3 linked regions of the Struthio camelus genome follow. The protein of the gene in region 2 interacts with the protein of the main gene of each other region in a pairwise test. Links are inferred from orthologs where the notes say so. Each region holds a gene or a part of one and is shown on either strand. Other genes may lie near its edges.

Region 1 (7,389 bases), on a different chromosome or scaffold from region 2:
ATTTAGAGCTGCTCTTAAATTACTTTCCTTTCTGCAGGTGGACTGGCTCAGCACCTGTCTGGCTGCCTGAAGGAAGCTTTTAAAGAAAGTCTGCGACAGATCTGAGTAAGAAAACTGTATATTGCCATGGTTACTAATACATTTACTGTAGAAATGGACTGTTTTGATTTATCAAGATGATTTTTGGGGGGAAAAAAATCACAAACTAGAAAAATTGGCTCAACTCAAGTGAGCCCACAGTAAACTCCTAAGGGATGTTAGAAACAATTCCAGGATCAGAAGAGCCTGGAACACAAAAGAACACAAAAGACTCAAAAAATGACTTTCTCTCAAGAAAGTATTAATTATTTAAGAGGACCAGGCTGAAACGCAGGCCCCACAGGAGACTCTGATAAAGTTAAACCTGCCTCAGTTACCATCAAGAGATGGCAATCCCTCTGCGCATACTGTGGTTTTAACAAATTTTTCCCTCCATGTGCTGCATTTGTATTACTAAACTACGCAGTGGTTTTGTCACCGTATCCGACTACTGATCTTGCAGAGCAGTACAACGGCTGTTCAAGCCTCGACAAAACTGATGGGTAAATATGCTTGATGCCCAAGGCACTGCAGCACAGGCATGATCTGAAAGCAAAAGACTGGCAGGGTTTCATTCTTCCACAGATAAAGACATGATGCCTGAAAGCTGAAGGACTGTACACTGAGCTTAAGAGAGAGACAGAAATCCAATTATCACTGCGAGTTTTAACTGTGTGTTTGTAAACTACCTTCTGAGACCAAATGCTTTTTTCTGTTTGATCCTGCTATGAAGTCATAATACTGGATTTGTCATGTCACAATTATTTTCCTAGTGATAGTCTGTGATATGCTATGATATCATGTTACTTCTGTGTAAGATCAAACAGAAGGTCACAGTGGATAGTGAAGAAGAAAATCCAACTAATGCATAGCTATTGTCAGCATTGCTACAGAAATACAGAAACATACCAACCAGTGTTTCTTTTCATGCACTCAGTGCTTTTCTTCACAAGGGTGTTATATCTGAAAACTTCTCATGAAGAACTAAGTTCGTAAATTAACTTGCTAAATATCCGCACAGTAGTCCTACTTGCTGATAATCTTCAAGTAAGAAATGTAAAATAGTCTTCTAAAGAGCAAAAAGAAAGGGAGTTTTGCAATGCATATTCAGAAGTGGAGAGCTGTGCTTTCCTCTCGCTGGTTAATTTGACTTGCTCAGGCTATGTGGAACTCCCTTCCTGTTTCCCTTCAAGACATTGAGTCACTTCCTTTCTTTAAATGAAAAACCCTTTCATTTCTCTTTAACTGATGATGGATTCTCTTTCAAGCATTCTGATAAAATCAACTGAATTATACATAGATTTTCCTACTCCTAGATGACTAAAATCGTTGCAGTTAGATATGTTAAAATTAGAGCGACAGCGCTGTCTATACTCAGAATTTTACAAATTATTGAAAGCAGCTTGTTCTCTAAGAGTATATTTTAATGAAATTTTAATCTCTTGTTTAACCAACAGATGAGAAATTTTAGATTTGCAGGTGAAATGGTAATTTATTCAAATCACTTTTATTTGCTATACAAGGAATAAAATTTGCAACACAAGAATGAAAGTATATTTATTTTCCTGGGATGTAATAGACTGATACACAGAAAAGTTGAATTTGCTTCTAGTAAAACATTTCTGTCCCAGTCAGCTACTGGTGAAAGGGGTAAAAATGCCACTGAAGATTTCACAGTCGTATTCATTGACAAGGTCATTGCATCTGGCCTGTTTTTTAGCATAGATAGAAGCACAGGATTGTTACTACTTTCTTAATGCAATTTACTACATTAATTTTAAGCCCCCTCAAAGTGGAAAAATCTGAGAATTTGCATTTCCCCAAACTGAGTGTTGCCCCCCACGTATATTCTCCAAATTTACTAGCTGGTAGGAAAACGGAGGAAGTATTGTTAAGATTTTCTTTGTATGTACTTGTGCTGTGGCTACTGCTGTAAGACACTGGGTAGACCTATCAATAGGTAAGTAAAAAGAAGACTGAAGATGTCAGTTGATATATTAAACCATGATCCAAATTCACTGCTGGTGCAGTGAAGTGGAATTACTGGAGGTACAGTCCTGGAGTTACAGCAGGGATTTTGGGCTGTGATCCTCCATGCGATCTGCCATGTCAAAAATACCATTCGGGGATAATTGATGTAATTCTAGGTGAAGTTCAAGGTTCAAATGTGAGCTTGCTGAGCTAAACATTGGTTTAAACTCTGTCCTAGGTAGTGTAATATAAATTTCAGTAAGGATGAGTTGAGCCGCTAGGCCAATTCTTTTATTTGCACATATGCAGTTCATTGACTGTAACAGAGCTGTAACAATAAAACTAGGTACAGAATTTAGCCATTTACTGTATGGAAAAACTTACTTGTTTTATATTTAGCAATACATTAATTTTAATCCATCTGTCCTGCTGCCTTTATCCATCTGTCCTGATGCCAACAGCCTTTATTATTATGTCACTGTAAGAGGGCTGACTTGAAATGTCCATGGATAAACTATCAGTAGAGAATAAAAAAAATCCTAGGGAGAAAGAATGAAGTCTAAAGAACTTACAGACTGTTACCTGCTTATTCACGTGCTGTGAAACTTTGTATCTCTATTGCCTTCAGTGTATTCACAAAATTACTTTCCACTTTCCGTATTTCCTTTAGTCATTTCTGATCGAGGCAGGGAACACTGATGTCTTCTACTGATGGCCGAAGGCTCCCCTGCATTTTTCATCCGAAAGGCAGCAGCTCCCACCGCATGGATACCTTGAGATATGCTAATCGGGACCCCTCCTGAGACTTTCCTCATGTCAAGCAGTAAGTCAGGGGAAAAGATTCATTTTGCTTAGTGGGACTGCTGCCACGCGTACGTATCTTTGCACACATCGCATCACAGCAGAACGGGCTCTGCAGCGATAAGAGATTTGTCGTGCCTTCTTCTTAAGTTACGCAACACTGAATTTGCGGTTTCCTTCCTCTGAATACTTTCCATGAACTAATTTCTTTACGTAGCGACATATGGGAGAATAAATCATTTGTGGGATTAAAAATCCATAGTAACGTCGGAGAAGGGCAAATACAGAATTGCAGGCCCCTTTGCTCTAGCTGCGGTGGCTATATGGGTGGAAATCACATCCAAATGTATGCCATGCCAGTTAAATCAAGCGTCACCCTGAGGGCTTCGGCCAGTGCTCCAGCCCCGGGTCGGAAAACAAAGAACTAACACACAGAGGCCGGCGTGAATGTTTTGCTTTGTGAACGAGCGGCTAATGTTTCCCTGCACCAGTCGCACAGTTTAAAATCACATTTTCAAGCGACGGTTAAATCCGTTCAGGCGGCTGATTCACCCCGGCCTGAGCGGACAAACAAGCTTACCTGAGCTGTAAACGTCGCCTCCCCGCGCAGCCAGTGGATTCCCAGTACCCTTCTTTTAGACAATTTCCTTTTTTTTTTTTTTTGGCACCATGTTTTGGTTAATTTTTGGTTCATGTCCCAGCCCCCACCCCCACCCCCCGCCGGGGCGATGTCCCCGGCTGCGCCGCTGCGGGCCAAAACGCGTCAGGCGGCTCCGCGCCCCCGGCCTGCGGGAGCCCCGCGACATCCTCTCCTCGCCCCAAACCGCGGGTGTCCGGAGCGCGGGAAAAAACAAACAACCCCCCCCCCCAAAAAAAAAAACACCCAAAAACCCGAATATCAACAATTAAAACGCCCCGGCAGACGGCAGAGATGACTCACGAGCCGCCGGCCTCGGCCGCGGCAGGCTGCGGACACCGCCCCGGACCGCGCCGGGCACGTTTGGGCCGGGCCGGGCCGGGCCGTGACGCAGCCCCGCTCCCCTCACACCGGGGCCCCGGCGGCAACGCGGCCCCCGGGCACCACGGGGCGGCCCCGCCCCTGCCCGCGGGGGCCGGGGGCCGCGGGAGCCCGGGGGCGGGGCCGGGCGGGGCCGGGGGCGGGGCCGGCGCTCCCCTCCCCCCCCGCCGCGGCCCCGCCCCGCATTCTCCGCACTGAACTTTACCCAACTTCGCCCCCCCCCCCAACCCCGGCGCAGCCCGCCCCCCCCCTCGCTGAGTATTCGTGAGGCGACCACACCCCCTCTCCCCCGGCGCCGCGCCTCAGTGGCCAGCGCTGGCGCCTCGCGGCTGCCCCCGCCGCTCCTATTGGCCGGCGGAGCAGTCGCTCGCCGGTGGCCCCTCCCGCGCGGGCGGGGGCGGGGCGGGGCGAGGCGGTGGCGCTGCGCCGGCGTCTCCCCCCGCGGTGACTCAACAGGGCGTGGAGGCTGGTCCCGCAGCGGCGGCGGCGCAGCCCTCGCCCTCCCCCCGCGGCAGCCACCGGAGCCGGCAGGCACAGCCCAGCCCAGCGCCGCGCACTCATTGTTCCGCCAGCTCCGGGCACCATGGACGAGCTGGACCAGTCCCCCCTGGTCTCCTCCTCCTCTGGGCCGGTACGGCCGCAGCAGCCCCAATTCAAGTACCAGTTCGTGCTGGACGACGAGAAAGACGAGGAGGAGGAGGAGGAGGAAGAAGAGGAAGAGGAGGACGAGGATGAAGACTTCGACGAGCAGCTGGAAGTGATGGAGAGGAAGCCCGCCGCGCCTCCCGCCGCCGCCCAGCCGGAGCGGCCGCCGCAGCTGCTGGACCTCGGCGGAGCCGCCGAGCCGCCCCGCCCCGCCGCCCCGGAGCCGCCGCAGCCGGACCGAAGCTCCCCGGGCGTCGTCTCCGTCTCCTCCTCCTCCTCCTCCACCTCCGCCGCCGCCACGCCGTCCCCCGCGCAGGAGCAGCCGCCGGCCCCCGCCCGGCCCGCTCACCCGCTGCCGACCAAGCCGGAGCCCCCCGCCGCCGCCGCCACCGCCCCCCGGAGAAGGGGGTCCTCCTCCGGCTCGGCCGGTGAGTGCCTGCGCGCCGGGGCCGGGCAGGGCCGCGGAGCCGCCCCGGGGGCGGGGGGCGGCGGGTCCTCGCAGGCGGTCCGGCTGCCCGCTCCCGCCGGCGGGCTGCCGGCCTGCCTTTGTCTGCCGCCCCGCGGCCTCCCGCCGCCGCCCTGGGGCGCGGCTCCCCCCCCCCCCCCCCCAGCCCGCTCGGACCGGCTCGTTTGGGGAAAAAGGGTTTTTCTTTTTTTTTCCTCTTTTTTTTTTTCTCCCCTTTCTTCCCCCTCTCTCTCTCCCCCCTTTCCCCTCCCCTTCTCTCTTTCTTATGTTAATGGCGGGAGGGGGAAAGCGCCGCCGCGCCTCGCACATGTTCCGCCCGGGGGCGAGGCCGCAGTGCCCGCCCCGCCCCACCCGCCGCCGCCGCCGCCTGGCAACGGCCGCGTCGCGCGGCGCCGCCGCGGGGGGTGGGCGGTGGCGGCGGGGGGCCCTGAGGTAACGGCCGCCGCCGGCTTGGGTCGAGGCGGTTCGGGCTGCGGCCCCTTGCGCCGCGGGCGGAGGGCGCGGGAGGCGCCTGCCCTGGTCGTGTCGCCCCCGCGGCGCCGGGGACGCTGGCTCGCCGGCAGGGCGGTCGGCGGCGGTGAGATGGGCGCCCGCCCCTCTGCCTGCGGGATGCTGAGCCGCCCTGTGGCGTCGGCGGCGCCCGTGACCGGCGGCGTGAACGTACTGCGGCCCTAGAAATATCTCTTGGGGCGGGGTGGGGGGGGCGGGGAACGTGCAAAGTATTTTTAATCTTAGTCGTTTCAAACAAGTCACCTTCCTGGGAGGGATGAGGGAGAGGAGTTAAGGGTCATCTCCTTCCTTAAACCTACCTCATGAGGGCTTGCAGCCAGGCAAAAGGTGACTTGATGGGTGGCTCTCTCTGCGGGCTTGGCAAAGCGTGCAGCTCTTTTGTGAATAGTCCTTTGTGGTAGTGCTCTTCTGCTTCAAACAATGAATCTTAAATCCCACAGGAAAAGAAAAATGTGAGCTGGTAAAGTCTGCATGCAAGCACAAAAGGCACATAGAAGACATGTTGCTGTAGGTGTGGTAGCATTGGAAAAAAACGCCAGCCTCACATCATGCGTATGCCCCCAGCTTGAGATCCTGGACAGTCACAAATAGCCACAGCTGGGGCTTGGGACTTGTGTGGAGAGAGTACCTCCAAGTACCTCCACTAAGAGACGGCCCCTTAATGTTGGGGTGCTGCCTAGGTCAAGGCTGTTGTACTGGAAGGCGTGCTACCCACTGAGCAATCGTCAGCACTGCTAAAATACCAAAACCCTTGCAAGGTCTCTAATCCAGGGGCTGACCAGGGATGACTAATGCGTTGCATATGCTGATGGCAATTGTATCTTGGCTCCACTTGCACTTAGTTTGAAATACAAGAGCTAATTTGAGGTGATTAACACAGTGAAAACAAACAAAATCGAGGTGCCTTCTTATGAAGACAGTAGTTTCTTATCTTAATTACTATTGTCTTACTGGTGCATTTGTTTTAAAAGATGGAGAATTTCCACGATGACTTGATATCAAGGTATGAATAAAAGTGATACTCAGAGTTTAATTAAAACCTAGAACACAATAAAAAGTCTTTCTTAAACATGAATTTAATTTTGTTTTCTGGGAGTTTTCACAATGCGTTTTGTGTATGTGAGAATGATTGTGCTATTTTCTTTCAGGAAGTCTAGATGCTACTGTTTTGTTCTTTTGCTAGCTCTCAGAGTAACAGTATGCTGCGGAGACTTCTTTCATTTCCACCATTTGGAGGGCAGATATTCACACAAACTTGCAAAAGATTTATGAGGAGGGATAATGTATGACAGGTGAATAGAAATTTTTCTGGGTAAGTTGTTTGGGTGGAGCAGTGGAAAGTGTGAGCAGAACGGAGTGGAAGGAATGGGGTCAACCAAATCTTGCTGTTGCTCTGAAAAGTAGGGATAAAAGCATGTTTTCTAGAACTGTTTTGTTTTTTGTTTTTCTTTTTTCTGCTCCCTGCCCCCAGAAAGGGAAGGCAGAAAGCAGAATAATTCCTGAACTGTTTCTTTTCAAGAGTAGGTAGAGTGAAGGAGGCATAATTGTGGTGCATGAGAGCTGGGTAGTGCAGGTGAGAAGTGATGTAAAAGATTCGTTGCTTGTGACACAGGTGCCGTGTTTGCCTAATGATGGGTTAGGACATAATAGGCTTATATTTTAAGCACTTGGAACTACTAAATGAAGACAATAAAATAGTCTTCCATCAGAGGAAACCAAAATATTCATGACGTGTCTAGACAATACTTTAGTCAAACAGTTTATGTGTTAAGCATGTTAAGTATCCATTAAACATCAGCTTTTCTTTGGTTTTGCACCAAAAATGGTGGTTGATGTTGAAACTATCTTAATCAAAATACTTAATTTGGCTCCAAACTAGTTCAGTTTCAGTGTTCCTGTG
Region 2 (8,033 bases):
GGCCACCTTTGTCCCAGTGCCCTCTGACCCCCCCATCCCAAAACGTGGAGGTGGGGGGGGGGGCCCAACCCCTACACGACACATCAGAGGATCCCCTCCCCCCTGCAGCAGGGGGCCCAGGCGTCCGGGCCTCCCACCCCCTGCAGCAGGGGGCCCAGGCGTCCGGGCCTCCCACCCCTACCGCACGCAGAGGCCGAGGGACCCAGGCATCCGGGCCCCTGCCTGGTGCCCTCTGGCCCCGAAATGTGGGGGGGGGACGGGGGGGATCAACCCCTATAGGAGACATCAGAGAACCCCCACCTTTACCCCCCCACTACCGTCCTGCACCTAAGGGACGCCCCACTGCACCCCACTACCATACTGCACCTAAGAGATGCCCCCCCACCCCCAAGGCACCCCACTGCTACCATACTGCACCTAAGAGATGCCCCACTGCACCCCACTACCATACTGCACCTAAGAGATGCCCCCCCACCCCCAAGGCACCCCACTGCTACCATACTGCACCTAAGGGACGCCCCACTGCACCCCACTACCATACTGCACCTAAGAGATGCCCCCCCACCCCCAAGGCACCCCACTGTTACCATACTGCACCTAAGAGATGCCCCACTGCACCCCACTACCATACTGCACCTAAGAGATGCCCCCCACCCCCAAGGCACCCCACTGCTACCATACTGCACCTAAGGGACGCCCCACTGCACCCCACTACCATACTGCACCTAAGAGATGCCCCCCCACCCCCAAGGCACCCCACTGTTACCATACTGCACCTAAGAGATGCCCCACTGCACCCCACTACCATACTGCACCTAAGAGATGCCCCCCCACCCCCAAGGCACCCCACTGCTACCATACTGCACCTAAGGGACGCCCCACTGCACCCCACTACCATACTGCACCTAAGAGATGCCCCCCCACCCCCAAGGCACCCCACTGTTACCATACTGCACCTAAGAGATGCCCCACTGCACCCCACTACCATACTGCACCTAAGAGATGCCCCCCACCCCCAAGGCACCCCACTGCTACCATACTGCACCTAAGGGACGCCCCACTGCACCCCACTACCATACTGCACCTAAGAGATGCCCCCCCACCCCCAAGGCACCCCACTGTTACCATACTGCACCTAAGAGATGCCCCACTGCACCCCACTACCATAGTGCACCTAAGAGACGCCCCCCCACCCCCAAGGCACCCCACTGTTACCATACTGCACCTAAGGGACGCCCCACTGCACCCCACTACCATACTGCACCTAAGAGATGCCCCCCCACCCCCAAGGCACCCCACTGTTACCATACTGCACCTAAGGGACGCCCCACTGCACCCCACTACCATACTGCACCTAAGAGATGCCCCCCCACCCCCAAGGCACCCCACTGTTACCATACTGCACCTAAGGGACGCCCCACTGCACCCCACTACCATACTGCACCTAAGAGATGCCCCCAGTACCCCACTACCATAGTGCACCTAAGAGACGCCCCCCCACCCCCAAGGCACCCCACTGCTACCATACTGCACCTAAGGGACGCCCCACTGCACCCCACTACCATACTGCACCTAAGAGATGCCCCCAGTACCCCACTACCATACTGCACCTAAGAGACACCCCCAGCCCCCATGGCACCCCACTGTTACCGTAATGCACCTGAGAGACAGCCCCAGTGCCTGAATACTGCAGGGCGCCCCCGAGGCAGCCCCAGAGCACCCCACTGCCTCCTCAGCGCACCCAAGAGCCTCCCCCCCGGCGCCACCAGCACCATAACGCCCCTAAGACAGCGCCCCACAGCACCCCAGTGCAAGGCGCTGTATAACCCCCCCCGGCCCTTTTTGGGGGGGCTACCGTAGCGCACCTAAGAGCCGCTCCACGCCAGCCCTCCCGAAAGGCGCCGCGCGTCTTAAGAGCCGAGCGGCGGCTCAAGGCTGGCGGCCAAGCCGGGGAGGCGCCGGGCCAAGGCCTCCCCTCCTCGGGAAGCGGGACACGTCCGCGCCAGGCTGCGGCTGGCCCCGGCCCCGGCCGCGACGGGGAAGCCCTTGGGGGGGGGGGGGAGCGCCCGGGGTGGCACCCGGGGGTCACCCCTCACCGAACGGGGCGCTGGGCGGGACGGTCCCCCCGCTTCAAGGGGTCCTGAAAGCAGGTGGCTGCAGGGGGGGGGGAGGGGGGGTGCTGGGACAGGCCTCCGCCTGCGGCCCCGGGCATGCAGCGAGCTGGCACGGCCTCAGCTGGCCTCGGCACAAAGGGCCCCTTGAAGCAGCACCGGCCGCCCGGATCGGGCCGAATCGAATTAGCCTTCTTTGTTCTCTCCCTAATTAACAGGCGCTAAGCGGCAGGAGGGATTAAATTAAATGCCGGCCTGGGGGGGGGGGCCTCGGACCCCTTCCCCGGCTCGAGGACGGTCCCAGCCCCTTACGAGCCGCTGGAGAATCCCCCCACGGCCCCCAGTGCTCCCAGTCGGGGCTGCCCAGGGGAGCAGGTGGGGGGGGGCCGGGCCCCCCGGGGCGCCCCGGGGCCCCTCTGCCTACGCACACGCGTCGCCCGCACACGCACGCTCCGTGCGCGCAGGCGTGCCGTGCACACGCAGCCCCCCCCCCCCACCGCGTGCCTCCCTCGCACGAGCGCGCGGGGCCTGGCAGCCGCGCCAGCCCGCCCCCCCTCGCACGGGCCTGCACCGCCTCGCACGAGCACCTGCCTTGCACGAGCGCCTGCCTCGCACGAGCGGGTCCCCCTTGCACGAGAGCCTCCCTCGCACGAGCGCGTGCTGCTCCTGGCAACCTCGCCTGGGCAAACAGCGGCAGGCTCGCGCCTGCCCCGCTCTCGCACGCCGCCTCGCACGCTCCTCGCACGCCCCGGCTCCCCGCCGGCCGCGTAAATCATTGACGGGCCGGGGCGGGAGGGCGAAGTCCGGCGCGCCGGGGCCCCGCGACCGTTCACCTCCCGCCCCTGCCCGGCCCCCTATGGGGCCCATATAGGCCCCCCCCCAGCCCCGCGCAGCTGAGCCGCTCGGGGCCGGACAGACGGACGGACGGATGGGGAGCTGGGGACGAGCGGAGCCAAACTGGGGGCACTAGGTTGTACCGGGATGGGGGTCCCGGGCCATATAGGGGCTCCCCATCCCTATAGGGTCGATAGGGGCAGAGCCAGCCCGTATAACGGGACTAGGTCACATGGAGGCTGGTTCCTATAGGGGTTCCCAGGCCTTTACAGGGGCTACCAGCCTCTACAGGGCCCTGGGGGTGGACCCAGCCCATCTAGCAGGGACTGGGGCACATGGGGGCTGGTTCACATAGGGGGCTCCAATACGCGTGAGGGTCCCAGTACATATGGAAGGGTCCATGATCTATAGGTGGAGCAGCTCTCGGACCAGGTCCCAGCCCATATGGAAGGTCTCAAGCCTGAGCAGGTGGGTCCCTGATCCCTATAGGGAGATCCCAGCCCCTATAGGGGTCCCTGGTCCCTATAGGCAGCTCCTAGTCTCTACAGGAGGGTGGCTGGCCCCTATAGGGGTCCCTGGTCCCTATAGAGGGTCCCGGTTCCTATAGGTGGTCCCCGGGCCCTATAGGGGTCCCGGGCCCTATAGGGGGTCCCCGGTCCCTATAGGGGTCCCCGGGCCCTACAGGGGGTCCCGGCCCCTATAGGGGGCTCCTAGTCCCTACGGGGGGGTCCTCGTCCACATGAGGGCACAGGTCACGTGGGCCGGTCCATATTGGGGGGGGGGGTCCCGGACCAGGTCACGTGGGTCCCCGGTCAAGCGGGTTTCGGTCCGCACCGGGAGTCCCGGTTCGTAGAGAGCCGGTCCCGGTTCGGGTCACGTGGGACCCGGTGCACCGGGCCCCCCCCCGCGTTCCGGTCCACGTCACGTGACGGCGCCTCCCGGGTCACGTGAGCCCCGATCCCCCTCCCGCCCCCCGACTCACCGTTCCGCCGCCGCTGCCGCCGCTTCCTCCCCCCGCGTCGCCGGCCGTCCCGTTAGCCCCGCCCCCGGCTCCCCATTGGCCAGCCGGCGCTCCGCCCCAGGCCCCCCCCCAGGCCCCGCCCCGCCGCGCTGTCACTCACCGCTCCCCCCGCGCCCTCTAGCGGCGGGCGGCGGTGGCAGGCGCGCCTCATTGGCCAGCCGCTTCCCGCCTCGCCTCGCTATTGGTCGAAACCATGTCAGTCAAGTCGGGAGGTCCACCCCCCCTTCCCACCTTCCCCTCACCGTGCGCCCGCCGGCGGCCGGGGGGGGAGGGAGGCCGCGGCGCGTGCGAGGGCGGTGATTGGCCGAGAGCGTGGCCAATGGGGGGCGGGCCCGCGTGACTCATTCATGCGGCGGGGCGGGCGGGCGGGCAGTGACCGCAACATCCCGCAGCGCTGCAGCCGCTGCCGGGGGCACCGTATAGCCCGCTCCCTCCATAGGGCCTCTATGCCCTACAGACGACCGTAGGGAGCCACCATCCCCTACAGGGAATACGCTATAGCCCCTATTCCTTTCAGGGGCCACCCTATAGCCCCATCCACCCTGTAGGGGGCCATATAGGCACCCTAGGGGACCGTATGGACAGCGGGGCCCGGCGTGATCCCTAGAGCCGCCTCTACAGGCCGGAGGAAGGGGGGAAACTACAGCTCCCAGCAGGCAACGCGCGTCAGGCGGGCGCCAGTGTCGCGGTGCACGCTGGGAAACAGCGGGTGTCATGGCGACGGGCGCGCCTCACGCAGGCCACCCTTCGCGCCTCGGCGGCCTCGCGCATGCGCGGCGGCGCCCGTCTGCGGGGCGGAGGAGGGGGGGGGAGTGCGGCGCGGGCAGGGCGGGGCGGCGGTCGGCGCGTGCGCGGCGGCGCCCGGCTGCGGCGAGGCGGGGGGAGGGGAGGGGAAGCGGGGCGGGGCGGCGGTCGGCGCGTGCGCGGCGGCGCCCGGCTGCGGGGCGGTGGGGGGAGGCGGCGCGCGCGCGCGGGCGGCCGTTGGCGCATGCGCGCGGCCGCCGCGCCCCGCCCCGCCGCGCGCCCTGTCAGTCGGTGCGCGGCCGCCGAGAGGGACGGACGCTCCTCGCCCAGGCTCCGCGCTCGCCGCCATGGCCGACCCCGCCACCCAGTCCCCCTACATCTCCTCCTCCTCCTCCGCCGCCGGTCACCCCGAGCCCGGCGTCCCTCACCCCCCGCCGGGGGCCCGGGACTGCAAAGGGGCCGGTTCCCCGTCCTGTGCTGGTAAGGGCCCGGGGCGGGGGGGTGGGGCACACGGGGAGGGGCACGGGCTGGGGGGGGGACGCGTTTGGGGGCACGAACACGGGTGGGGGGTTAAGAGCCCTTTCGAGGGGCACGAACGCGGGGGGTGAAGAGCCCTCTCGGGGGACACAGATGGGGAGTGAAGAGCTTTTTTGGAGGGCAAATATGGGGGGAGCAGAGCCCTCTTGGGGGGACGCAGATTGGGGGGTGAAGAGCCCTCTTGGGGGGACGCAGATTGGGGGGAGCAGAGCCCTCTTGGGGGGACGCAGATTGGGGGGTGAAGAGCCCTCTTGGGGGGACGCAGATTGGGGGGTGAAGAGCCCTCTTGGGGGGACGCAGATTGGGGGGAGCAGAGCCCTCTTGGGGGGACGCAGATTGGGGGGTGAAGAGCCCTCTTGGGGGGATGCAGATTGGGGGAGCAGAGCCCTCTTGGGGGGACGCAGATTGGGGGGAGCAGAGCCCTCTTGGGGGGACGCAGATTGGGGGGAGCAGAGCCCTCTTGGGATGCAGATTGGGGGGTGAAGAGCCCTCTTGGGGGGACGCAGATGGGGGGAGCAGAGCCCTCTTGGGGGGACGCAGATTGGGGGGAGCAGAGCCCTCTTGGGATGCAGATTGGGGGGTGAAGAGCCCTCTTGGGGGGACGCAGATGGGGGGAGCAGAGCCCTCTTGGGGGGATGCAGATGGGGGGAGCAGAGCCCTCTTGGGGGGACGTAGATTGGGGGGTGAAGAGCCCTCTTGGGGGGACGCAGATGGGGGGTGAAGAGCCCTTTGGGGGGACGCAGATGGGGGGTGAAGAGCCTTTTTGAAGGGCAAATATGGGGGGAGCAGAGCCCTCTTGGGGGGACAGAGACAGAGGAGTGATGAGCCTTTTTAGGGGGCAAAGATGGGGAGGGAGAAGAGCCCTCGAGGGACACAGATGGGGGGGAACAGAGCCCTCTTGGGGGGGCAAAGATGGGGGGGAGAAGAGCCTTTTTGGAGGGCAAATGGGGGGAGTAGAGCCCTCTTGGGGGGACACAGATGGGGGGATGAAGAGCCCTCTTGGGGGGACAGAGACAGGAGTGACAAGCCTTTTTAGGGGGCAAAGATGGAGAGGGAGAAGAGCCCTCTCGGGGGGCAAAGATGGGGGGAACAGAGTCCTCTCGGGGGGGGACACAGATGGGAGGGAGAAGAGCCCTCTCGAGGGACACAGATGGGGGGGTGGAGAGCCCTCTCGGGGGGCAAAGATGGGGGAAACAGCCCTCTTGGGGGGACACAGCTGGGGGGGAGAAGAGCCTTTTTGGAGGGCAAATGGGGGGGAACAGAGCCCTCTTGGGGGGACCGAGACAGAGGAGTGGCGAGCCTTTTTAGGGGGCAAAGATGGGGAGGGAGAAGAGCCTTCTCGAAGGACAGAGATGGGCCAGTGAAGAGCCCGATGGGGGGGGAGAGCAGCCCCCTTGGGGAGATGGACACAGAGGGTCAAAGAGCCCTTTTGGGGGGCAAATATGGGGGGTGAAGAGCCCTCTTGGGGGAACAGACAAGGTGGTGAAAAGCCCTTGTGGGGGGCACGGATGGGAGGGGGAGGAGAGCCCTTTGGGGCCAAAGACGGAGAGCGTGAGGAGCCCTTTTGTGGTGGAGCCCTCTCGGGGCAAGGATGGAGAGGGAGAAGAGCCCTTTCGCGGTGGTGGGGACACGAGAGGAAAGCTGGCTGACGGGCGGGTGTGATCTCGGGGAGGGGGGACACGGGACCATCTGTGTGACACCTGCCCAAAGGCCCTCTGCGACGGAGGGCTGTGGGTCAGCCGAGGGGGGGGGGTCTCCCCGAGGCCGGGGCTGCAGCAGAGCCGAGGGCGACGCCACGACAAGGGCCACCCATCTGTCGGCGGGGGGGGGGGGTCCGGAAGGGCAGGCAGCAACAGGCCCCAGGGAGGGGGCGCGTCAGGGGTCCGATTTTTGGGGGGCAGCGACACAGACGTCTGGCTTTGGGGGGGGGACGACGAGCTGTGTGGCGTCCCTCCCGCTTCCAGCCCTTTCCCTCGGCGAGAGCCGTCCCGTTTCGCTCCCGCCCCCTTCCCAAAGGGAATATTTCCCCCTCCCAGAAATAAGGGCGAGGGGGCAGCTCCTCCGGCCCCAGGAAGTCCGTCTGACGCGAGACGGACCCTGCGGGAAGGTGGGGGACGCAGCTGGCGGCATGGCACGGCCCCCCTCCCAGGGCAGGTGCTGGGCCGGGGCCCCGGTGAGCCGGGTCCCCCCGACCCCGCCGCGCCGGCGCGGTGCCAAAACCTCCCTTTTGTTCCGCTGGGGCCGGGGTGAAGGGGAGGGGGGGAGCCGATCCGGGAAGGGATCCCGAACAAAGGAGCGTCTGGCTCCAAATCCCCCCTCGCGCGGCGGCGGGGGGAGCCGTGCGGGCCGGCGGCAGGTCGCCATTGTGTCTCCGGCGAGGCCGGGCGCCTCGCGCGGCGCCGAGATCTGCAGTGCGGATGCTTCCCAGGAGGGCTGAGGGAGGGGGCTGGCGGGCGAGGGCCGCCGGTGGCGGAGCCGCTCGGAAAACCCATCCTTGGAACAGGAGCGAACCGGCAGAAAGCGACAAATAGGAGCGTGCCGGGGTTTTTTGGTAGGGCGTCGGGTGGGGAGGCGCCGACGTCGGATGCTCGGCAAAGCGCCGGCGATGGGAAGCTCCCTGGCGGTTCGATCCCGGGGGGCCGCGGTGGGCTTGCGAAGCCGGGAAGCAAGCTGGGAAGCAGCCGGCGGGAGCAGGGCGGTTACGGAGCATCCCGCTCCCGGGCTCAGCCGGCTGCTTCGCCCTCCGGAGCCGCCTGTCCCTGCGCTTCGCCCTCCGGATAAACCCC
Region 3 (7,533 bases), on a different chromosome or scaffold from region 2:
AGAACCAACCAGCACCCCAAACTCTGTGAGCTTCCCTGGCATCCCCAAAAGGTTTGCCCAGTTATTCCAGTAACCGCTGGCCCACAAGCTGTAAAGATGCTGGCATTTAGATGAAAGATTCATCCTTCTGCACAATGGGCTGCATCCAGCTCCGGCTGCAGAGCGGCTCACAGAACAGGTGACAAAAAAGAGACCAGGGCACACGGGAGGGATTCAGTACCTGGCAGTCGTAAACAGGGTGTCCTCTCCAGCACATCACATCCAGGATATAGTACGTCTGCTGCGCCTCATTGTAGATGCAGTCCAAGATGCTGTAAACTGCACACAGACACAGGGAGATCCAGACACGCTCCAGATACTACCAAACCCAAAAGGCAATTTAATTAGATCAAATCTCTCCTGCATTAAACCCTAGCACTGATGGAAGCCTGAGACAGGCAGAGACTCCCTTCTGCTGAACAGAAGGCATGACCACAAAAAGCTTAGCTTTAAGAGCCCCGCAAGCTCAAGAACTTCAATCAAAAGCACATTTCAGAATAAGGCACCTATCCATTGATAAACCCTCCTCAGGGCAAGCAATGCAACTGTATGGGATATTGAGAAAGGCCATCCTCCTTCTTAGCAAGAAAAGCTACACCCTTTAACTTGAGAAACATCAGCACCAAGGGGTCACTGGAAAGATACTGTACACAGCTCTGGTACTTAAAAGGGAGGAAGATGCTGAGGTTTAAGAGCATCAGGTGAGCAGGCAGCTGATAAAAAGTTGTTCTTGTGTAGCATAAAGGTGTCCGAGATCGTCCATGTCTAGTTATCCCCACAGATTCACGAACAGGGCTGAAGCTAATAATCCCTGGCACCAGAAAAGGGTACAGCTCTGCTGGGCCTGCGGGAGCTGGAGGAGCAGCACTGAGCCTGTCATGCAGGCAGACACACACACACACACGGAGAAGCAGGCTTGTTCTCCTTCATCTATTTCAATGGCCTCTTCAGATCATTACCTTTCTCATTTAGCGAATTGTGCCGGTTCCCACCCGGCAGCAGGGACGGGAACCTGTTGACACAGAAGCCACTCTTGGTGTAAGCTGCTGTTGAGCCCTGCAAGGAAGTGGGAGAGAGAAAAGTCAAGGCCAGTCTCCCTGCTCTCATGCCACACGTCTGACTGCACCCAAGGCTTTGAAACCCAGGTCTCCGTTACAACCACCTCCAAGCAGCCTGTCAGAGGAGAGCAGTACTCACCATTAGATACGGCTCTGTTACTACCACATCTCTCAGCGCCCAAATTCTTTCAGTTCAAGGAGAGTTTCAGCCCCACACGGCTCCCACAGCACAAGGCAGGCAAGACACACAGGCCAGCCTTTGGTTTCATGTCATGTTGGCATGATGACGTAACAGACACATACAGGTCCTTTACCAGGTGGTGAGACTTCACCACTGCTCTCTCTTACCTTGGATGCCACAACCAGTGCCCTTCTCCCTGTGGGGCACACCACTACAACCCACTCTTGCTCCAGATCCAAAGGGACATCTACCAGCCACTCAGACAGCATCAGCTGAGGAGAAACCCCCCCAAAAAGGCAGTTAGTAACAGCTCTCCTGAAGTTATGGAAAACTCACAGCTCAAGAACAAAGCAAGAAGGTTTTGACTTGGTTTATACTGGGTGCCACAGAGGCAATGTGTATTGCTCATCACCCTGCAATACAGCACCATAGGAGCATGGCTCCTTCTAACCAACCTGCAAAACAAACTCTTCCCCCAAGCCTTTCTCTTACTTCCCAGCTGCCAGCTGAAATTCAGAGTACAGCACAAGACCCACAGTACTCACTTTTGCATCCCAGTACCTTAATCCCTTTTCCAGCCTCGCTTCAGCCCTTTGTTGTTGTTGTTGTTTTTTAATTATTATTTTAAATATGCAGCAGACCTTAGAGATTGCTAAATAAAGGAGTAAAGGGACTAGACAAGTGAGCCTCTTCAGACCCCTGAGATTTCCTGGCTATGATCACCTGGGAGGCTGTAGGTCTTTTAGAACCAATATAGTGCCAAGGCTAAAAACACCCATCAGTTGAGGTTTCCCTTCCTCTCCAGCTGTACCTGATGGGAGGAGAGATAGAATCTTTAATCAAGTATTGCACAGTGGGACATAAGTGTCTCTAGCAGAGCTGAAATCTCGCAAGGAACCCAGCCAATCCATCTCAGCCTGTCCTCCATTTGAAGACAGCACGTCTCAGAGGAAAGAGAGATGAGTAGTGGTTCTGCACTGAGCACCCAGCTAGGACACACTGCTCTCAGCCCCAACACACCCATCACCTAGAGCACGCCAGACAGGAATATATTCACCGCGACCCCCCACAACGTTAACCTCGCCACGTTCGTCACCTTGCTCAGCACCGCAGCCCCATCCCCACCCTGTCACAGGGATGGGGACAGCTCCTCACCTGATTGGCATAGCGCTTGGGCAGCTTCCGAGGAACATCCACCTCCATCTCCTCCTCATTCGCACCTTCCTCCGCCTCCTCTTCCTCCTCGCTCTCGACTCCTGCCCAGTCATCCTCTGCCAGCCTCCTGGCATGGTTCACGTAGTCGAGCCGCCTCCTGCCGAGGAGAAAACAGTCCTGCTTTGCCTCCGCGGCAGGCGGCCGGGCACTTCCCTGCCCCTCCGCGCTCCTTAGGGGCTGGCTACCCCTCCGCCGCTAGGGAGGGCGGGAGGAGGCGCAGTCCCCGCAACCGCCCCCCGCCCCCGTGAGCCGCGGGACGGACGGACGGAGGGACGGGCTCGCCCCCGCCGCCCGGCCGCGGCCCAGGCCCGGCCCGGCCGCCCCCCTGCCCGCGGCGCGGCCCCGGCGGGCCCTTACGCTCGCTGGAGGCGGAGGAGGCGCTGGCGGCGCTCGGCCTGCCCCAGGCCGCGGCCGCGGGCCTTGTAGGCGGCGAAGCGGGGGTGCGGCGCCGCCGGGCTGTTGGGCGCCGCCGAGACGGCGACGCGGGCCGCCAGCGCCTCGCTCAGCTCCTCCATGGCAACGCCGGCCCGCGCACGCGCACTGCCCGCGCCGCCGCCCGCCCCTTCCGCCCGCGCGCCTGACGCACTTCCGGCCGCGCCGCCGCCCGCCGAGGGACAGGCGGCACCGGGCAGGATGTGGCGGGTCAGGCCGCGCGGGGGCGCGCACAGCCCCGCCCCGCCCCCTGCCGGCCCCGCCCCCTGCCGGCCCCGCCCCGCCCCCTGCCGGCTCCGCCATCAGCCCCAGCGCCGCCATCATCATACGCGCAGCGCCGCCCGCGGCCCCACGGGGCCCCGCCGGCCCCACGGGGCCCTGCCTGCCCCACAGTGCTGCCTATGGCCTCTCTCTGCCTGCCCCACGGGGCCCCGCCCGCCCCACAGCGCCGCCCGCGGCCCCCGCCAGCCCCACGGGGCCCCGCCGGCCCCACAGGGCCCTGCCTGCCCCACAGTGCTGCCTATGGCCTCTCTCTGCCTGCCCCATGGGGCTTTGCCTGCCCCACAGCGCCGCCCGCGGCCCCCGCCAGCCCCACGGAGCCCCGCCGGCCCCACAGCGCTGCCCGCGGCCCCCGCCGGCCCCACGGAGCCCCGCCGACCCCACAGCGCTGCCCTCGGCCCCCGCCGGCCCCACGGGGCCCTGCCTGCCCCACAGCGCAGTCGTCAGCCCCACATCGCTCTGTTGGCCCCACAGAACTGCCCATCGTGCCGCCATCCCCCCACAGCACCTTGCCGGCCCCATAACATCACCCCATAGCACCCTGCCTGCCCCCTAGCACTACCCCTTGACACCCCGCTGGCCCCAAAGCTCTGCCCCACAGCACTGCCCCGTAGCGCCGTCCCTTAGCGCCCTGCCTGCCCCATGACACGCTACCTGCCCCCGGGCCCTGGCCCTGGCCCGGGGGGGGACGTGCTGTGGGTGCCCCCTGGGTGCCTTCGGGGCAGCCACCACCGCCAGTGCCCCCGCGGGCCCTCCGGTCGGGCGTGGGACGGTGGCTCTGGGAAGCAGGCAGTGCCGGGCAGCCCATGGCACAAGGACGAGTGGGGGGCAGGCCCAGCGCCCCACGGCAGACACCCCCCGCGGGTGCGGATGGGGAAGGCTGCCTGCAAAGTGGGAAGGGGAGGACGATGGCGCTGGGAAACGGCAGGGACATTGGGGACATGCGGGACAGGGGCGCCAGGACCCCGGGGGCGGGGACGTTGGGGACATGCGGGACAGGGGTGCTGGGACCCCGGGGGTGGGGATGTTGGGGACATGTGGGACAGGGGTGCTGGGACCCCGGGGGTGGGGATGTTGGGGACATGCGGGACAGGGGCACCAGGACCCCGGGGGCGGGGATGTTGGGGACATGCGGGACAGGGGCGCCAGGACCCCGGGGGCAGGGACGTTGGGGACATGTGGGACAGGGGCACCAGGACCCCGGGGCAGGGACGTTGGGGACATGTGGGACAGGGGCACCAGGACCCCGGGGCAGGGACATGCAGGACATGCAGGCCAGGGGCACTGGGACCCCAAGGCAGGGACGTTGGGGATATCTGGGACAGGGGTGCTGGGACCCCGGGGACGGGGACGTTGGGGACATGTGGGACAGGGGTGCTGGGACCCCGGGGACGGGGACATTGGGGACATGTGGGACAGGGGTGCTGGGACCCTGGGGGCAAGGACGTTAGGGACATGTGGGCCAGGGGCACCAGGACCCCGGGGCAGGGACATGCAGGACATGCGGGCCAGGGGCACTGGGACCCCAAGGCAGGGACGTTGGGGATATCTGGGAGAGGGGTGCTGGGACCCCGGGGACGGGATGTTGGGGACATGTGGGACAGGGGCACCGGGACCCCGGGGGCGGGGACGTCGGGGCCATGCGGGCCGGGGGCGCCGGGCCGGGGAGGCCGGGGCGGCGGCGGCGGCGGCGGCGGCGGGGGCGGCGGCGGCGGGGCCCCGCCGGGCCGGCGCCTGCAGAGGGCAGCGTGCGACCTGCCGGGCCCTGCCCGCCGCCGCCGGGCCGCAAACCGGGGAGCTGGGCGCTGCCGCACGGCACGGCGGGCTGCGGCGAGCCCGGCACCGGCACCGGCAGCGGCAGCGGGCGACGGGCAGCGGCAGCAGAAGCGGCACCGACACCGGGCAGCGGCAGCGCAGCCCGGGCGGCGGCGGCGGCGGCGGCGGCGGCGGCGGCGGCGGCGGCGGCGGCGGCGGCGGCGGGGCCCCGGGAGCCCGTGCCCGGCCATGCGCTGAGGGCGGCCCCGCGGCCCGCCGTCCCCGCTCCGCAGCGGCCGCGCAGCGCGCACCGGGCACCGGGCGGCGGAGACCGCGGCGGCGGCGGGACCGGCGCCGCCAGCTGCCCCGGCCGGGCTGGGCTCGCTGCTCCCCCTTTTCCTTCTGCGCCCGCCCGCCCGCCCGTCCGTCCGTCCGTCCGTCCGTCCGTCCCACTAGAGGTCTGCGGATTTCGTGAGAAAAAAAAAAAAAAAAGGCCTCCCGGAAAGGAATTGCAAAATACTTGTGCTGGGATCACCGGGAGGTTGTGTTGTGTTTGGGTTTGCTTCCCGGCGATTTCCAGGCGCCCGCTGACTCCGAGCTGCGCTGGATTTCCTCGCTGGGAAGTGAATTTGTGTATTTTAAACACGGATCTCGAAGAAGAGTCCTGTGAAAGTCACTTTGGATTTCCTAATTTGGATCAAGATCTTTTCTTAACGTAAGTTAAAACCAAGACGGCGGCGGGACCAACGACCCAGCAAGATAAAAGCTCCGGGGAAATGGCAGACTTCGGGATGTCTGTTTGTCCGGCCGAGGTTTATATCACGTAGAAGGAGGGAGTGGAACGAAACATGTTTTTTGGTTGCCCAAGGAATGTTTTCTTAAATTGGTGCACTTAGATCGCTGGAGTTACTTGAATGTACAGACCTTGGTGTCAGATGTTAGAGGATTTATATCTTTTTTATTTCTGTGTGAAATCGGCTAAGCCTTTTCCCACAGCTCGGTAGCAGGTCCCAAGCCACTGAAGTGCGTGACGGCTGGGTCTAGCAGCGACCCTTGGACTATCTGGAGGTATTGTTGTTGGTTTATTGTTTTTTTTGTTGTTGTTGTTTTTTTGCTGCGGGGATTGAGTTACACCGTCCCCCTGGGAACGGCCATGGCGTTGAAAGCCAGAGCACTTTACAATTTCCAGAGCGAAAACAAAGAGGAAATCAGCATCCAGGAGAACGAGGAGCTCGTGATCTTCAGCGAGAACTCCCTGGATGGGTGGTTACAGGGTAAAAACAGCCGCGGAGAGACAGGCCTCTTCCCTGCCTCCTATGTCGAAATCCTCCGGTCCAGGTCAGGCTCCAATTATACGGACTATTCTCACAGCCCCGCCGGCTCCCCTGGGCACGACTCCTCCTTCTACGTGGCTCCGACCAACCCCAGTGTCTCCTACCAGGGCAGTTTTGAGGACGACGATGACGACGACTGGGATGACTGGGATGATGCCTGCACAGTGGTGGAGGAGCCTCGGAGCACTCCAGGCACCAATGGGCACCCTTCGCCCACGCTGCAGTACCCCACGGCTTACTCGCACCAGCACGCCGGCTACCGCCCCAAGCCGGCGCTGGAGAGGCAGGACAGCATGAGCTCCTCCAAGAGGGGCAGCGTGGTGGGGAGGAACCTCAACCGCTTCTCCTGCTTCGTCCGCTCTGGGGTGGAAGCCTTCATCCTGGGCGATGTGCCTCTGATGTCCAAGATCGCAGAGGTGTACTGCATTGAGATGGGCTCCAAAGGCCCCCAGTGGCGGGCGAATCCCCACCCCTTCATCTGCTCCGTGGAGGACCCAACCAAGCAAACCAAATTCAAAGGCATCAAGAGCTACATCTCCTACAAGCTGACCCCCAGCAACATCAACTCTCCCGTCTACCGGCGGTACAAGCACTTTGACTGGCTGTACAACCGCCTCCTGCACAAGTTCACGGTGATCTCGGTGCCCCACCTGCCTGAGAAGCAGGCCACCGGCCGCTTTGAGGAGGACTTCATTGAGAAGCGCAAACGGCGGCTGATCTTGTGGATGGACCACATGACCAGCCACCCCGTCCTCTCCCAGTATGAGGGCTTCCAGCACTTCCTCTGCTGCCGCGATGAGAAGCAGTGGAAGCTGGGCAAACGGCGGGCAGAGAAGGACGAGATGGTGGGGGCCAGCTTCCTGCTCACCCTCCAGATCCCCACGGAGCACCAGGACCTGCAGGACGTGGAGGACCGTGTGGATGCCTTCAAGGCTTTCAGCAAGAAGATGGACGACAGCGTCCTGCAGCTGACCAACGTGGCCTCGGAGCTGGTGCGCAAGCACGTGGGGGGTTTCCGCAAGGAGTTCCAGAAGCTCGGCAATGCTTTCCAAGCCATCAGCTACTCCTTCCACATGGACCCCCCGTACAGCTCAGACGCCCTCAACAACGCCATCTCCCACACGGGCAAGACGTACGAGACCGTGGGGGAGATGTTTGCTGAGCAGCCCAAGAACGACCTGTTCCTCATGCTGGACACTCTCTCTTTGTACCAGGGGCTCCTCTCCAACTTCCCGGACAT

What was found.
Region 1: the proteins of RTN3 (region 2) and RTN4 interact in binary tests that used the Homo sapiens proteins (3 or more experiments, as listed by UniProt). The link is inferred for Struthio camelus from reciprocal best matches to the Homo sapiens genes RTN3 and RTN4.
Region 3: the proteins of RTN3 (region 2) and tyrosine-protein phosphatase non-receptor type 9 interact in binary tests that used the Homo sapiens proteins (3 or more experiments, as listed by UniProt). The two-hybrid records come from large-scale screens. The link is inferred for Struthio camelus from reciprocal best matches to the Homo sapiens genes RTN3 and PTPN9.

What each region holds. Positions count from the first base shown.
Region 1 is NC_090944.1:118,941,559-118,948,947, forward strand, and holds the start of RTN4 (reticulon-4), read left to right. Parts: upstream 1-4,303; 5' UTR 4,304-4,451; coding exon 4,452-4,941; intron 4,942-7,389. UniProt on the Homo sapiens protein: Required to induce the formation and stabilization of endoplasmic reticulum (ER) tubules. They regulate membrane morphogenesis in the ER by promoting tubular ER production.
Region 2 is NC_090976.1:1,170,818-1,178,850, reverse strand, and holds the start of RTN3 (reticulon-3), read left to right. Parts: upstream 1-4,974; 5' UTR 4,975-5,057; coding exon 5,058-5,190; intron 5,191-8,033. UniProt on the Homo sapiens protein: May be involved in membrane trafficking in the early secretory pathway. Inhibits BACE1 activity and amyloid precursor protein processing. May induce caspase-8 cascade and apoptosis.
Region 3 is NC_090953.1:23,095,565-23,103,097, reverse strand, and holds the start of tyrosine-protein phosphatase non-receptor type 9, read right to left. Parts: upstream 3,052-7,533; 5' UTR 3,009-3,051; coding exon 2,851-3,008; intron 2,591-2,850; coding exon 2,434-2,590; intron 2,090-2,433; exon of another isoform or gene 1,551-2,089; coding exon 1,446-1,550; intron 1,096-1,445; coding exon 999-1,095; intron 319-998; coding exon 221-318; intron 1-220. Other genes in the region: SNX33 (sorting nexin-33), read left to right, coding at 6,113-7,533. UniProt on the Homo sapiens protein: Protein-tyrosine phosphatase that could participate in the transfer of hydrophobic ligands or in functions of the Golgi apparatus.